3 linked regions of the Macaca fascicularis genome follow. The protein of the gene in region 3 purifies or fractionates together with the protein of the main gene of each other region. This does not show direct contact. Links are inferred from orthologs where the notes say so. Each region holds a gene or a part of one and is shown on either strand. Other genes may lie near its edges.

Evidence for each region.
Region 1: the proteins of ARID1A (region 3) and SMARCD2 purify together in Homo sapiens (affinity purification with mass spectrometry; 7 studies listed by BioGRID and IntAct, with this or other methods). This does not show direct contact. The link is inferred for Macaca fascicularis from reciprocal best matches to the Homo sapiens genes ARID1A and SMARCD2.
Region 2: the proteins of ARID1A (region 3) and ACTL6A purify together in Homo sapiens (affinity purification with mass spectrometry; 5 studies listed by BioGRID and IntAct, with this or other methods). This does not show direct contact. The link is inferred for Macaca fascicularis from reciprocal best matches to the Homo sapiens genes ARID1A and ACTL6A.

What each region holds. Positions count from the first base shown.
Region 1 is NC_088390.1:70,346,477-70,351,410, forward strand, and holds the start of SMARCD2 (SWI/SNF-related matrix-associated actin-dependent regulator of chromatin subfamily D member 2), read right to left. Parts: upstream 3,116-4,934; 5' UTR 3,105-3,115; coding exon 2,889-3,104; intron 1-2,888. UniProt on the Homo sapiens protein: Involved in transcriptional activation and repression of select genes by chromatin remodeling (alteration of DNA-nucleosome topology).
Region 2 is NC_088376.1:91,314,966-91,320,098, forward strand, and holds the start of ACTL6A (actin-like protein 6A), read left to right. Parts: upstream 1-1,967; 5' UTR 1,968-2,064; coding exon 2,065-2,275; exon of another isoform or gene 2,276-2,331; intron 2,332-5,133.
Region 3 is NC_088375.1:208,411,399-208,416,297, reverse strand, and holds the start of ARID1A (AT-rich interactive domain-containing protein 1A), read left to right. Parts: upstream 1-1,406; 5' UTR 1,407-1,778; coding exon 1,779-2,924; intron 2,925-4,899. UniProt on the Homo sapiens protein: Involved in transcriptional activation and repression of select genes by chromatin remodeling (alteration of DNA-nucleosome topology).

The sequences.
Region 1 (4,934 bases), on a different chromosome or scaffold from region 3:
TCAAAAAACAAAAAACAAAAACAACTCAGGAGTTAGGAAAAACAAACAAAAAACAGTCCAGAACTCTGAGCCTCCCTAACTCCCTGCTTGCAACAGGATCAGGTAGGCCTGGATCAATCCCCTGAACCCCAGATGAGGAATCCAGGGCTCCAGTGAGCATGCTTTGCCCTGCCCCAAATGTGGCCCTGATGCTCTGGAACCTGGGCCTGAGGGCCTCAGTTGGGGAACATACCACCACTCTCCCATGAGTAAAAAGGATTTTGAGGCAGGGCGCGGTGGCTCACACCTATAATCCCAGCACTTTGGGAGGCCGAGGCAGGTGGATCACAAGGTCAGGAGTTCAAGACCATCCTGGCTAAGATGGTGAAACCCCGTGTCTACTGAAAACACAAAAAAAATTAGCCGGGCATGGTGGCGGGCACCTGTAATCCCAGCTACTCAGGAGGCTGAGGCAGAGAATTGCTTGAACCTGGGAGGTGGAGGTTGCAGTGAGCTGATATCATGCCACTGCACTCCAGCCTGGGCGACAGAGTGAGACTCCGTCTCAAAAAAAAAAAAAAAAAAAAAAAAGATTTTGAACTTTTTGAACTCTCTGGAGTGAACCCAGAAATCTGAGGTTTTTGTTATTTTGTTGCCCAGGCTGGAGTGCAGTGGCAGGATCATAGCTCAATACAGCCTTGAACTCCTGGACTCAGGCAATCCTCCTGCCACAGCATCCCGACTAGCTGGGACCATAAGCGCACACCACCAAGTTTGGCTAAATTTTTTTGGGTTTTTTTTTTTTGAGAAATTATGGTCTCACTATGTTGCCTAGGCTGGTCTTGAACTCCTGATCTCAAGTAATCCTTCTGTCTGGGCCTCCCAAAGTGCTAGGATTATAGGTGTGAGCCACCACATCCTGCCCTGGAGGGTTTTTTGTTGTTGTTTTTGTTTTAGGTTCCTCTGTTAACTGTGATCCACAGCCAGAACCACCCTCTGGAGGAAGGGAGGTCATCACTTCCCTTCTTTCAACTATTTGTTCAGCTTGGGCCTCAAATTCTCGCTTTTCCAGCACATCTCATGAGCCCTAACAGACAGGAACCCCTCTGTTTCCCAGATCTCAAGTCCCTTCTCCTGGAAGTCATACAACTGGACTTGGAAAGAGAGCAAGTAGGATCCTCTTCAAACTCAGCCAAAGTTAGCTGGCTGGGTTCTCTGTACCATCTACCTCTCCTGCCAAGAGGAGGAAAGCTAGTGGGATGGGAAACCCAGACTCAGGGCCATCTCCTACTTCCCCACAGCTAGCAGCCCAGGCCTAACCAGCCAGCCAGCTTGGCCTTGCCACAAGCCCAAGGCCACCCCCCACCAAACATGTGGAATCCATTCTCTTAGGGGCTGTCTCAAGGGCACATTTCCTATGACTTTTTGCATGCCAAGGAAACTGGAGCGGCTTGTCTGTTCCAGGTCCTTCCAAGGCCAAAGGCCCACAGATGGTGCCCAGGCCAGGTCTCAGTGGGCAGGCCCAAGGGCTACAATGACTGATGCAGGGAGCCCTCAGCAACACCCTGGGCCCATGAATCCCCAAGGGGGAGAGTAGGGTGGGAAAGATGAGCCCCAGCTGGAGTCCCTGGGACCAGGTCTGTCTCTGCCCATATCCAGACTCTGTTTTCTCTTGAGAAAGGAGGAAGAATGAGGAGGAAGAAGGGAAAAAAATCCAGTCACTGTCCCTAGTTAAGCCATCTCCTTAGATGTGAGGCCCAGTGGGGCAGGTAGGCTGTGTATACTCCACGAGGATCCCTAAGGACCTCCGCCTGGAGACAGGAGTCGAAAACAGAGGAAGCCCACAGCAGACCCTGGGAGAAGCCAGTGTCAAATGCTGGGGCATATGGCTTCGGATGTGGCGGAGTTAGAACCTGAAGGCCAAATAAAAATGCAGAGAGGATGATAAGGCAGATGGGCACAGTTTCCAAGCCTGCTGGTGCAACCTGAACAGCAGACTAGGGGACCAGCAGGGTCAGGCTGAGGTTCTCACACACTGAGCAGAAGTCGCTGCCTTCCAAGGGCTTTTGAAGCTGAAACCTGAGCAGCTCTCAAAACCCCAAAGGGGTCAGGACAGCACTCTTTGAAGCAACTCTCGCAGACTCCTCGGGCCCCAGACCAGCAGGGTTCCACTCTGCACGTCCAGACTAATCAACTACCCGACACGATGACAGGAGGCAGAAAGCCCAGAAGAGAGCCGGCCTTTGACTAGGCTGGGCCTCCCCTCAAGCCTGGCCACCACCGTCTCTGGTCTAAGCTGGAGTCCTCCCCAGCGAAGGCGCCTGGCCCTGCCTCTGGAGTAAAGTCCGCCCGTGCACAAGCTGGAATGAATCCCCTGGCCCTAGTAGCCTCAGCGTCCCGTGCCCGTGGGAAGCCAGGCTCCTTCCTCCTCATTAGCAGCCGGGAGCCATCTCAGACACGCTAGAGCTCGGCCAGTTCGCAACCAGAAAAAACAGGGCAGACTTGGAGTGGGACCAAGGCCGATGCAGGGTAACCCCGGTTTCTCAGCGAGGGCCCTTTCCCAAACTTTCTCATCACTTTCTAGCCCTCCTACCCTAGACTTCTCAACCCACCCGCCCACAATTCACTGGTTCCCCAAACTCCTCCATCTCCCAGTCACTCGGAATCTCTGTGCCGCGGAAGCCCCCAGGCCTCCCAGCTGGTTCCAGCCCTCCGCTGCAGGACTCGCTCCCCCTTCCCCACTCCTCCACCGCCACCCGCCGCAGCCCGAGGGATCTGGCCCGCCCTCCACCGTCTCCCGGAGTTCCTCATGCATTCCCCAAGGCCCTCACTCGAGGCCCCCTCAGCCCCCGGCCCGGGCGCCCTCGCGGCGCCGCACGCCCCCGTCCGCTCGCGTCCTCCCTACTCACCTGGTACTGCCCCGCGGGGCCCGCGGGGCCCATGGGGCGGAAGGCGGCGGCCCCGGGGCCCCCCACGCCTCCAGCCGGACCCGGTCCCCGGAGCGCCGGTCCGGGCAGCATGCCGGGTCCGGCGGGGGGAGGAGGCGCTCCCAGGGCCGCGGCCACGGCGCCGCCGCCAGGGCTTAGCGGGGGCAGCGGGAACCCGCCCGCGCCTCGGCCCGACATCGCTCCGTCCCGTCCCGCGGTGCCGCGATCCGGACTCCGGGCTACGCGTCGAGTCCACTCCGCGCTCTGTACTCCGCGATCCGGGACTTGGCGATCTTAATTCCGGGTTCCGGGATTTGTCGATCCGGGCTCCGGGATTTCCTAATCCAAGTTCGCGAGTTCCTCACAGACCCGGTTCGGGACAGATTCCGCTCCTGCGCCGGAGATTCCGGATCCAGGATCTGCTGTGGGCCCGCCTGCCGCCCCCGGACTCCGGAGGTTTGGCCGCCCGAGTCGAGTTACCCAGAGGCGGCTACGAACTCCCTGCCCCGCCCAACCCAGCCCAGCACTAGGCCCCGCCTCTACCTGGTGCCCAATGCTCGAGTGCCTCCTTGAATCCCGCCCCTCGCGAGACCCGCCCCCAGCAGGCACCGCCCCTAACCGCCGACCTCAGAGTCCCACCCCCCACCTTTGGCCCCGCCCTTCATCGGAGGGGCGGGAGCGGAAGCTGCGCGCGGAAGCGCCGAGTGAGGCGCGGGGTCAGAGGTCTAAGGTCACGTTGAGGCTTCACAGTGAATGAGCAGTTGCTACTACTCTTTCCCGGTGTAGCAGCCTCACCGAAAATAGTTTTGTCAAGTCTCCTTTCTGCATCTTCCACATTAAAGACCCAACTCAGAGTCGGTAGCGGTGGCTCACGCCTGTAATCCCAGCACTTTGGGAGGTTGAGGCGGGTGGACCACCTGAGGTCAGAAGTTCGAGACCAGCCTGGCCAACATGGTGAAAACCCCGTCTCTACTAAAAATACAAAAATTAGCCGAGAGTGGTGGCTGGCGCCTGTAATCCCAGCTACTCGGGAGGCTGAGGCAGGAGAATCGCTTGAACCCGGGAGACAGAGGTTGCAATGAGCCAAGATCTCTCCACTCCACTCCAACCTGGGCGGCAAGAGTGAAACTCCTCAAAAAAAGAAAAAAGACTCAGCTGCTCTCTGGGGCAGAACAGCAGCCAACTCAACTTCCTGTAAAAGCTCATCCTGGTAGCTCGGAACTGCCAAGGGACCTAGGAGGCTCCAGACTTGACCCAGCTGGTGAATGGTCGACTTGGCCAAGGCTGAGCTCTTACAGCACATTTTTAACGTGGCTCTGCCTCACTATAAGGAAGCCTGGTACTTTACTCCCCAGCAAATGCTTCTAGTCAAAAGAAATTTGGCTTATGAGAAACCTCCCTGCAGTTTAAAAAGAGGTCTTTCTCTAGTATTTATAGCACTTAATTTTCAAAAATGCAGTATCTTTTCAGATACACTGTGCTGTATCAAAGTATTCAAAAATGCTTCAGCTGTCCCTTTGATGGTCTGGGTCTCCTCACAGTGATACGGCCCAGTGCTGCTTAAACCCTAATGAGCACATAAAAAACACCCGAGGCTCTTATTAAAAATGCAGATTGTGGCAGGGCCCAGGACTCTACATTTCTAACAAGCTGCCAGCGATGCTGTTGCTTCTCAGACCATACTGTCAAGAAGCCAGGATCTAGACTTTTTTTTTTTTCTTTACTATAATTGGTTTATTTTTCAGCCCCCACCAAGTAATGCTTCCTTTCTTGCATCATAGCACCCCAGATATTTTTTATAGTTTTCCAACGCTTTTTAGAAATTAGTTCTCCTCCTGTCTCTAGCGATAAACCCCACTGCTGCTGCTCTTACCTCCTGGACTTCTCAGAGATACCACTCTATTGCCCCAAGAGTTGATAACCTGTCAGTCTGGGGACTGGTCACTGGAATTGTTAAAGTCACTGAATCATGGCCCCTCCCATCCCTGTAAAGTGGGTTAAGAGTTCATGATAAGGCAACTAATATAC
Region 2 (5,133 bases), on a different chromosome or scaffold from region 3:
TACGCCATCTTTTAATATCAATAGTTCCTTCCTGTGGAAACCAAGGGCAAGTATCTTTTACAAAATCAAAAAATTTAAACAAATCATTACTTTTAACCTTTACTCCTCGTATCCTTAAAGCCTCTTTTAATTGTCCTACATAGATTTGATGTTGACTTAATTCTTGTCCCATTTCGGACGCGTCACTTACCTTCGATTCTGACGCGGCAGGTTCCCGCGGTGATTGGAGGAGTTTAACTTCTTTCGTCTTTGTTAACGATCGACCGGTCTTTCGCGTCCTCTTCCTCACGGAGTCCCTCGTTTCCAGGCCTCACGTTTGGGCGCCACGAGTCCCAGCCCACGGGATCGTCAAAGCAGGCCCTGGAAGAGGGGGGTGGGAATTTGGGGAACAAGAGACACTAGAAATGGAGACAAGACAGTATCCTGATCAAGTCTCGTTTAATGGCGGTAATGCAATGCCTTATATACATTTGGAGGGGAAGGGGTTGGGCTAAGGCGGAAATTACCTAAAAAAGGAAGGCGTGGCCAGATAAGCCTCGGTTTCTCCGGTCGGACTTCATGTTGCGCCTGCGCAGTCAGGTAGTCTTTTCGCAGGCGCGGGAAAAAAGAATGAAAAAGAAGCAGGAAGAGCGCCATCTTTTAATGGCAGTATTAATACAGGGAAGAAGGTAAATCTAGGGAGAAGGTGTGGGGTGGAAATGAATATAGCTCAGGCGTTTAATCTTTAATTATTATTCACTATGGCCGGGGCGTGCAGCTCCGGACACTCCACCTCCTGGGTTCAAGCGATTCTCCTGCCTCAGCCTCCCAAGTAGCTGGGACTACAGGTGTGTGCCACCACGCCCAGCTAATTTTCGTATTTTTAGTAGAGACGGGGTTTCACTGTGTTGACCAGGCTGGTCTCGAACTCCTGACCTCGTGATCTACCCGCCTCGGCCTCCCAAAGTGCTGGGATTACACGGGTGAGCCACCACACCCGGCCTGAAATTTTTTTTTTTTTTTTTTAAGAAATTGATTTTTTAAATCGTTTTTAAAGCGCTACCTAGGTTTAGCTGGGATAATGCATCATTTCATTCTTCTTTTACTTATTAATAACCATTTAAAAAATTACAAGATCCTATCAATTTGTCTGATTTACTGATTCCCCTATCCCAAAGTGGAGCGCAAAATTTTTATTTCTTCAACCTAAAGTTAGTTTAAAATACTTTTTCTGAAGAAAAAAAGAAAGAAATCCACATTGCCCACAGTCACTGGACAGGAATCTCAGCGTTGAGACACACGTTCAATTTCCAGAAGTCTACCTTCCCCTACCCAGGTTCCCGCAGCTCCTCAGCGCCCAGCCGCACCTCTTACGCCCCTCCCATGCTTCCCTCCAGCCTTCCTCCTTCTTCTCCCACTGCCTCCGCCCACTCTCTCGCCCACCCGGGAAGCTCCGCCCGCTTCAGCTCCGCAACCCAACTCCTTCTGTCCGGCTGTCGCTTTCCTCTTTCCCCGCCCCCATGGCTGCCTTCGATTGGCTAAACCTGCTGGGCCGCGGCGGGGATGCGGCGCAGCCGCATTCTGATTGACTAAACGTAGGCCTGGACCCTCGTGATTGGCTGATAGGAGGAGACAGCAAGTGTAGCTGAGCTCCGGGGTGTGTGGACGCCGCTTTGTTGCCTGAGGGGGGTGGCGGTGGAAGTTAAGGGAGTCAGGGGCTATCGCTTCTCGGGACTCGCAGTCGGGGCCACTGCAGTCACTTCTCCAGTTAGCCCTTAGGGTAGGGGTCGCGCCGGCAGCAGCCATGAGCGGCGGCGTGTACGGGGGAGGTGAGTGAGTGCGGCCGGAGGAGAGAGCGCGCGTTTTCGGCGTGTGGGGTTTGTAACCGCCGCTCCCAGCCCTCCCCTCCTCGGCGTTCCCTTCCGGTTTCCCCCTCTCGGGACCCCGGCCTCCCCGCCCCATCCCCGCCCCACGCTCTGCCCGCCCCCGGAGCCCACCAGGCTCGGCCAGCGCCTCGGGCGCCCTGGAGTGGTGGCTCTCTGTGGCCGGTTCCTGCCTCTGCCCCCGGAGAAGCAGGGTTTTGGGATGCACGCTCGTTTCTCTAGAGAGCCTCGGGGCTGGGCGGGAAGCTCAGTCCAGCCGGCCGCCGGGCCCGGCTTGCGTTACCGCCCCAGGGTCGCATCTCCACGAGTGCCTCCTGGACTCGGCTGTGTCGGGGCGCATGTGCTCGCGCCTAAACTTGGAAGGTCCCGGCGGTTTGCAAGCGTGGACGGAGGGTTCCCAGAGCGTCTCACAGGTGGCAATGCGAGCCTCAAGCCGTAGAACTGACTAGGGAAGCGGCGGCCACTTAGGGTACTGCCTCCTCCCTGTCTGTGCCCCATGCGCGAGCTGCCTCACCTTTCAGTAACTCCTGCCTGTTTGTTGGCTGCGGAGTCTCCAGAGTGACTCGTGGGCGGGTCTGTTTGAGATTAATTCAGGAGCACGTGTAGTTTAAGGATGCCCAGAAAGTTTGCCGGGGGTCCTAGACGTCTTGTTTTTTCACTTATCCTTGATTAGACTGGTATGGCAGAAAGATTACCAGGTGCGGGGGGTTACAGACCTGAGTTGAAATATCCGCCTCACTGTTGAGCGCTTTGGTCTTAGGCAATTTACATAATTTTCCAACTTCAGGCCTCATTTGTGGAATAATTCCTAGCCAATGGGGATGGGCGTGAAGGTTAAATGAAATAATGCTACATTTGCCACTTAAAGTCTGGTCCATGGACCAGCAGTGTCAGCATCACCTGCAAGCCTGTTAGAAATGCAGAATCTCACGCGTCATTCAAAATCTACTGATTTAGAGCCTCCATTTTTGCAAGATCTGCAGGTGAATCAAAACACTGATACATATAATTAATGTTTTGGGTTGTGTTTGATGAGTTAGAGACCCAGAAAACAAATCCAGACTATTGCTATTGTTGCTGTGTCTAGTAGTGATGCTGTTTCTATAAAGGATGTCATTTTACAGGTAAGATACAACAAAAATAAGATTTTTCCTTCATGTTCCCCAAGAAAATCACATCACCCCTAAACTTGGAAGGAGAAAAACATTTAAATCCTCAAAAAAGAAAAAAAAGCCTTTTTAGTAGAATAGAGGTTCAATTTTTTTTTTTTTTTTTTTTTTTTTTTTTTTTTTTGAGACGGAGTCCTGCTCTGTCGCCCGGGCTGGAGTGGGCTGGAGTGCAGTGGCCGGGTTTACGTCATTCTCCTGCCTCAGCCTCCCGAGTAGCTGGGACTACAGGCGCCCGCCACCTCGCCTGGCTAGTTTTTCTGTATTTTTTAGTAGAGACGGGGTTTCACCGTGTTAGCCAGGATGGCCTCGATCTCCTGACATCGTGATCCGCCCGTCTCGGCCTCCCAAAGTGCTGAGATTACAGGCTTGAGCCCCCGCGCCCGGCCGAGGTTCAATTCTTGAGGATTTTTATACACTAGAAATTGCATCCTAGGTTTTAAACATCCAGAACTCTGTGGTTCTTTCTACTAAGCCTCCTGCCTCCCATTGCCACTCTCCTACTTAGGGTTCATGGGGCTTGATTTTTAATGAAGCAGGGTACAGGAATTAGATGTATCTCCCATCCTGAAAAAGGAACAGATGTAAAATTCTAAGAATTTAGAGTCTTAAATTAAACTTCCACCATATCCAGTTTACTAATTAGGGCAGGAAAATGAGCTGATATGTTGGATTTTTTTCTATTTCACAAAAATGTTTTTTGAGCACTATGTGGCAGGTATAGGCTGTTGTCATCAAGAAGTTCAGTCTTGTAGATGAATCCGTTAGGTAAATAGACACCATATTTCACCGATTCTTAATTGTACATTTTTCCCACATTTAAACAGCTGAAGTTGGAATATGTCTTTTGTTTGTTTGTTTGTTTTTAATAGAGACGGGTCTTGAACTCCTGAGCTCAGGCAGTCCTCCCGCCTCAGCCTCCCAAAGTGCTAGGATTACAGGTTTGAGCCACTGCCCCCAGCCAGAATATGTCTCAGTAGTGCTGGCCTGGCAGAGTTTTAATTGCCATATTATTTTCTTAGTGATGCCGGAAATAGTGGTGCATCATGTAGTTGATAGCATCTTATATTGATCAGAAATGGTAACTGTAATTCAATGAGAGCTGTTCATTGATAACAATATGTAGAAGGGGCCAGGTGCGGTGGCTCACACCTGTAATCCCAACAACTTGGGAGGCTGAGGCGGGCGGATCACTTGAGGCCAGGAGTTCAAGATCAACCTGGCCAACATGACAAAACCCTGTCTCTACTAAAAATACAAAAATTAGCCAGGCATGGTGGCACATGCCTGGAGTCCCAGCTACTGGGGAGGCTGAGGCACAAGAATCACTTGAACCCGGAACTGCACTCCAGCCTGGGTGACAGAGCAGGACTGTATCCTAAAAAAACAAAAACAAACATATATATTTATATATGTTATATATAATTTATATATATAATATATATAATTTTTATGTTATATATGTTATATATATTTATATGTTATATATTTATATATGTTATATATATTTACATATGTTATATATATATAGTGCAAAAGTAGTTCAGAGAATAAAGTTATTGATTCCATGTGGTGGAGTCAAGGGACTTTACAATAGAGGTAATGGAGATGATGGAGGAGGAGTGGAAAGGGACAACATATGCAAAGGTTAGCTGAGAGTATGTGGTGTGTTCAGGAGATGACATATTACCCAGTAAGTCAGTGTATGAGGCAGGAAGTGAGACTGCTACCAGATATTGCTACGCCTTGAATTTCAACTGGCTAGAGTGATTTAAATTTTATCAAATTCAATGATGAGAAACCACGGAATGATTCACCCCCTTATTTTTGTTGAAGGATTTATGTACCAAAATAATGACAGTTACAATATTGAAAGATCACAGTGCAGCAGTTGGAAGGGTAGATTTAAGAGGCAAAGAGGTGGAGGCACGGTATCTGTAGGGAATTGTAGTTTCCCTGTTGAGATAAGAGCTTGATTGAAGGCAGGGGCAATGGTATTTAAAAGGAGGGGATTTGAGAAATACTTAGCAGAAATATTTGGCAGAACTTGAAAGATGGAGGTGTTCACAACAACTCTCAGCTTTTTGCCAATGTGGACTGTGGTC
Region 3 (4,899 bases):
AAATCTGAGAAGCATCCATTTTCTAAGTGACTTGTTGGACTGTGCCTTTTCTTCAAGGAGAAAATGGTTTCCATTTTCTGCATCTCTCTTCTGTAATGGTTTGAACACTCAGGTTCCTGCAGTCCCTGGAGCCTCTTCTGTGGGTTTTCAGTCTTAGAAGGTACTGTCTTTGGAGACTGGGGATACTGGTCATTGTGGGCTAAGTTTTCCTGAGAGGGAGTGAAAACAGGGTTTAGGTTCTCCTGCTGGGTAACTGTTGTATGCTCCTAAAGCAACTTCAAGTGGCCTCCATTTTAAGTCAGTGGTGAGATGATCAGTTTTGACTTCAAATCCATTTTGATATTCTGATTCCATTGTTGAATGTGCTCACAACTTGACTTTTTTTTTTTTTTTTTTTTTTTTTTTAAGGCAAGTAGACCGAAGGCAGCTTTGGTGACTCCACTTCTTTTTAAAGTCACCCTCCTCTGCCCTCTGACTTTAAGTGACAGGCAGTTCCCTCCCCTCTTTCAATTCTGTAAAATGGGGATAATCCGGACCTCATGCCCCCAGAGCCTTGTGAGGACCGGCTAATGAGGGCAGGCGAGTGGGAAACGAATCATCTGAACAATGACCAGTCATTCCTTTGGGCTCGCAAAGAGGGTAAAAAGGCTGGGTCTTTAGCGGGGTCTGTAGAAGGCTTTGAAGACGAAAAGTGCTGTAGAGGTGCTAAACAGCAGCCAACGGACCGGGCCCGCTGCCAGGGGGTCAGGGCTGGGCCGAGGCGGCCGCGGTCTCGGGCTCTGGCCAATTTTGCAGTCGCGGGTAAAGTTCACGCTGCCCGCTCCCCTCGGTACGGCCGGGAGGGGACAGACCTGGATAGGGACGCCGGGAGGGAGGCGGCGCAGGCTCCAGAGATGCGCGGGCTCCGGGCCGGGTTTTCTCCGAAGCCTTCGGCGGCGGCGCTGCCTAGCGAAAGCGGCTAAGGGCCTGCCGCCGCCGCGGCTTGTTCTCTCCCCTCCTCCTTTGTGAGGGGTAGGGAGCGAGTCCGTTCCACGGCCTGCGCCCGCTCCGCTCTCCACTCCGGGTTTGCAAGGCGGCCGCGACGGCGCTGGGTAAAATGGCAGTGCTGAGCCTCGTGTCGGAGTGAGGGGGACTCGGAGGAGAGTGGGGCGCTCTAGCCGCTCAGTCCGGCCGACCGCTTTCTCGCCCGCCCGCTGCCGCGCCGCAGCCTCGACCCAAGCCGCGGCTGGCGAGGGAAGGCAGGGCGCCCGGCCCGGCCCGCGCTCTGACTCTGGCTCCCGGCGCCCGGGCTGCTGCCGCGCGCCCTCCAGCCCGCCCGTCCCGGGTCCCCCTCCCCCCGCTCCCTCCCTCCCTCCCCGCCCCCTCCCCCTCGCCTCCCTCCCTCCCTCCCTCCTCCTTTCTCCGGCAGCAGAAAGCGGAGAGTCACAGCGGGGCCAGGCCCTGGGGAGCGGAGCCTCCACCGCCCCCCTCATTCCCAGGCAAGGGCTTGGGGGGAATGAGCCGGGAGAGCCGGGTCCCGAGCCTACAGAGCCGGGAGCAGCTGAGCCGCCGGCGCCTCGGCCGCCGCCGCCTCCTCCTCCTCCGCCGCCGCCAGCCCGGAGCCTGAGCCGGCGGGGCGGGGGGGAGAGGAGCGAGCGCAGCGCAGCAGCGGAGCCCCGCGAGGCCCGCCCGGGCGGGTGGGGAGGGCAGCCCGGGGGACTCGGCCCCGGGGCGGGGTGGGAGGGGGGGAGAAGACGAAGACAGGGCCGGGTCTCTCCGCGGACGAGACAGCGGGGATCATGGCCGCGCAGGTCGCCCCCGCCGCCGCCAGCAGCCTGGGCAACCCGCCGCCGCCGCCGCCCTCGGAGCTGAAGAAAGCCGAGCAGCAGCAGCGGGAGGAGGCGGGGGGCGAGGCGGCGGCGGCGGCAGCGGCCGAGCGCGGGGAAATGAAGGCAGCCGCCGGGCAGGAAAGCGAGGGCCCTGCCGTGGGGCCGCCGCAGCCGCTGGGAAAGGAGCTGCAAGACGGGGCCGAGAGCAATGGGGGTGGCGGCGGCGGCGGAGCTGGCGGCGGCGGCGGGCCCGGCGCGGAGCCGGACCTGAAGAACTCGAACGGGAACGCGGGCCCTAGGCCCGCCCTGAACAATAACCTCACGGAGCCGCCCGGCGGCGGCGGTGGCGGCAGCAGCGATGGGGTGGGGGCGCCTCCTCACTCTGCCGCGGCCGCCTTGCCGCCCCCAGCCTACGGCTTCGGGCAACCCTACGGCCGGAGCCCGTCTGCCGTCGCCGCCGCCGCGGCCGCCGTCTTCCACCAACAACATGGCGGACAACAAAGCCCTGGCCTGGCAGCGCTGCAGAGCGGCGGCGGCGGGGGCCTGGAGCCCTACGCGGGGCCCCAGCAGAACTCTCACGACCACGGCTTCCCCAACCACCAGTACAACTCCTACTACCCCAACCGCAGCGCCTACCCCCCGCCCGCCCCGGCCTACGCGCTGAGCTCCCCGAGAGGTGGCACTCCGGGCTCCGGCGCGGCGGCGGCTCCCGGCTCCAAGCCGCCTCCCTCCTCCAGCGCCTCCGCCTCTTCGTCGTCTTCGTCCTTCGCTCAGCAGCGCTTCGGGGCCATGGGGGGAGGCGGCCCCTCCGCGGCCGGCGGGGGAACTCCCCAGCCCACCGCCACCCCCACCCTCAACCAACTGCTCACGTCGCCCAGCTCGGCCCGGGGCTACCAGGGCTACCCCGGGGGCGACTACGGCGGCGGGCCCCAGGACGGGGGCGCCGGCAAGGGCCCGGCGGACATGGCCTCGCAGTGCTGGGGGGCTGCGGCGGCGGCAGCGGCGGCGGCGGCGGCGGCGGCCGCCTCGGGAGGGGCCCAACAAAGGAGCCACCACGCGCCCATGAGCCCCGGGAGCAGCGGCGGCGGGGGGCAGCCGCTCGCCCGGACCCCTCAGGTACACAGCTGAGTGGGGAGGGGGCTGGGGCGAGCGTGGTCCTGGGGGTGGGTGGCGGCTGCGGTCAGCGGGCCACAGCCTTGGGCTCCCCTCAGTCTCGGGCCCCCACTGCTGGGGAGCTGCCATTGTCTGGCTCTTCTCTCTTAAAATGGCTGCCTGTCTGCCTTCCTCTCCTTTCCTCCTCCAGCCTTTGTGTCGGGCTTTCCCAGAGGTGTCTGCTTCTCTTGTTCCTCTCCCTTGGTCCCTTCGAACTCCAGGGGTCTTGATGGGGGTGCGGGGCAGAGTGTGTGGGGAAGGGCCTGGCCGGGAGTGAGGGGGTGCTGGGGGCTCAGGTTAGGAGTGTAGGCAGTGGTAGGAACCCAGGAGTTGAATGAACGTTTCTTTGCTCACCTGCCGCTCCTCTCCGTCCCCCGGCCTTCCTCTGGGCCGCCCCCCATCTGTGCTTTCAAAGAGGGCCCCTAGAGCTCGGAGGGACCTCGAGGGAGGGCAGGGGACTGCTTGGGAGCTGCTAGAGGCCGGCTGCGGTTCACCTAGGGCAGCCCTTGCCATCTCCTGTCTTAGGCTCCGCCGGCCCAGTGGCCTGGGCTTCTCTCTGGAAGTGCTGGTAAACAGCTGAGTGATTGGAGTAGTAAGTGCAGATTGCTTTGGTTTGGGATTTGAATTATGGAGGTAAAATCCTTCTGTCAAAGCCAGGAGACAGTTGGTCTTAGGTTGACATCCTATCTGTGATCTGATTGGCTCCCCATCTCCTGCTCTTGGCCATTTATAATTGCCTCTGATGTAATGGTACAACAATCCTGATGAGCTCATAAACTTTTACACTCTGCTTTTCTGCCAGTGATAACCCAAACCATCGCTGCCACTATCTGCCTTTTATTCCAGAGCTGAAATTGGCTGTGACCTTGAGGAGGGAGGTTTAAGTAGCAATACTGTATCAGCAGGAGCAAAGCCTCAGACAGCCTGCCCTTGTTACATTGTGCCCGAAACAAAAGAGGGGGCAATGGCATTTTGCTTGTACCTTGGATTTATTTTGCTTGTTATGTTTTATGCAGCCTGAAATGAATTCTGTGTTGTCAGAACAGTAGCTGAGTTTTTTCTCTACAATGGGTTTGCTGTTTGTTTTGGTTTTGTGACTTTCCTGATGGTATAAATGACTTCTTTGATGGCTCTGAAGATGCATTTGTCTTGAGTAATTTTGACACTGGTTGCTTTGCAGAATTGAAATGATTTTACTGGGGTTTTTATTGAGTGGCAAATGTGGGATCTTTGTGGGTGGGGGAGAAAACAATTTTCGTTTTTTAGTTTTTTCTTTTTAAGAACTGGGAGCTTTCTGAGGAATTTTATATTAGGTTCAAGCATTCTGTGTTATGGAAGGCTGGCCTCATTCTTTGTTTACATGTTGAATCTTGTTAACACTTTCTTTTGTTAATTGAACTTTGGAATAGCAGCTTAATTTAAACGGAAGTTGGTGTCTTTCATGATCTTGAGGGACTTTCTCCTAAAGGCTTGGTTTGGTGAAATTGTTTTTTCCTGGAATAACAAAAAGTCTAGTTTTCTGTTTTGTCATCAGTCATTTTAGAGCTTTGAAATAGAGACTGGCCAATTTATTCCTTTGCATTTTAATGTACCACTTTTTTTCTTGTCTTCCAAGACATGAAGATATGACCTAGAATGACACTTGAGATTAGCTTAGAAATTGCAACTTCGAAGTATCTTTTTATACTATTCTATCTTGTTTTATTTTATTGCTTTTCTTCCATTTTCATCATGCTCTGTCAGCAGTGCTTTTGGTCAGGGATACTGAGTATTCTGTGGAGTCATACATGTTTTCAAAGAGGGGGAAGCTCCATCCATCGCCTCCCAAACCCCTTGCGCTTTTGTGCTAGGAGATTTTGTTCACTTACTAGCTGTATTCCCAGCCCATCCTAGAGCTACTTTTCTACTCCTCCTTTGAGCTGGGCATTTTGAAATTAGC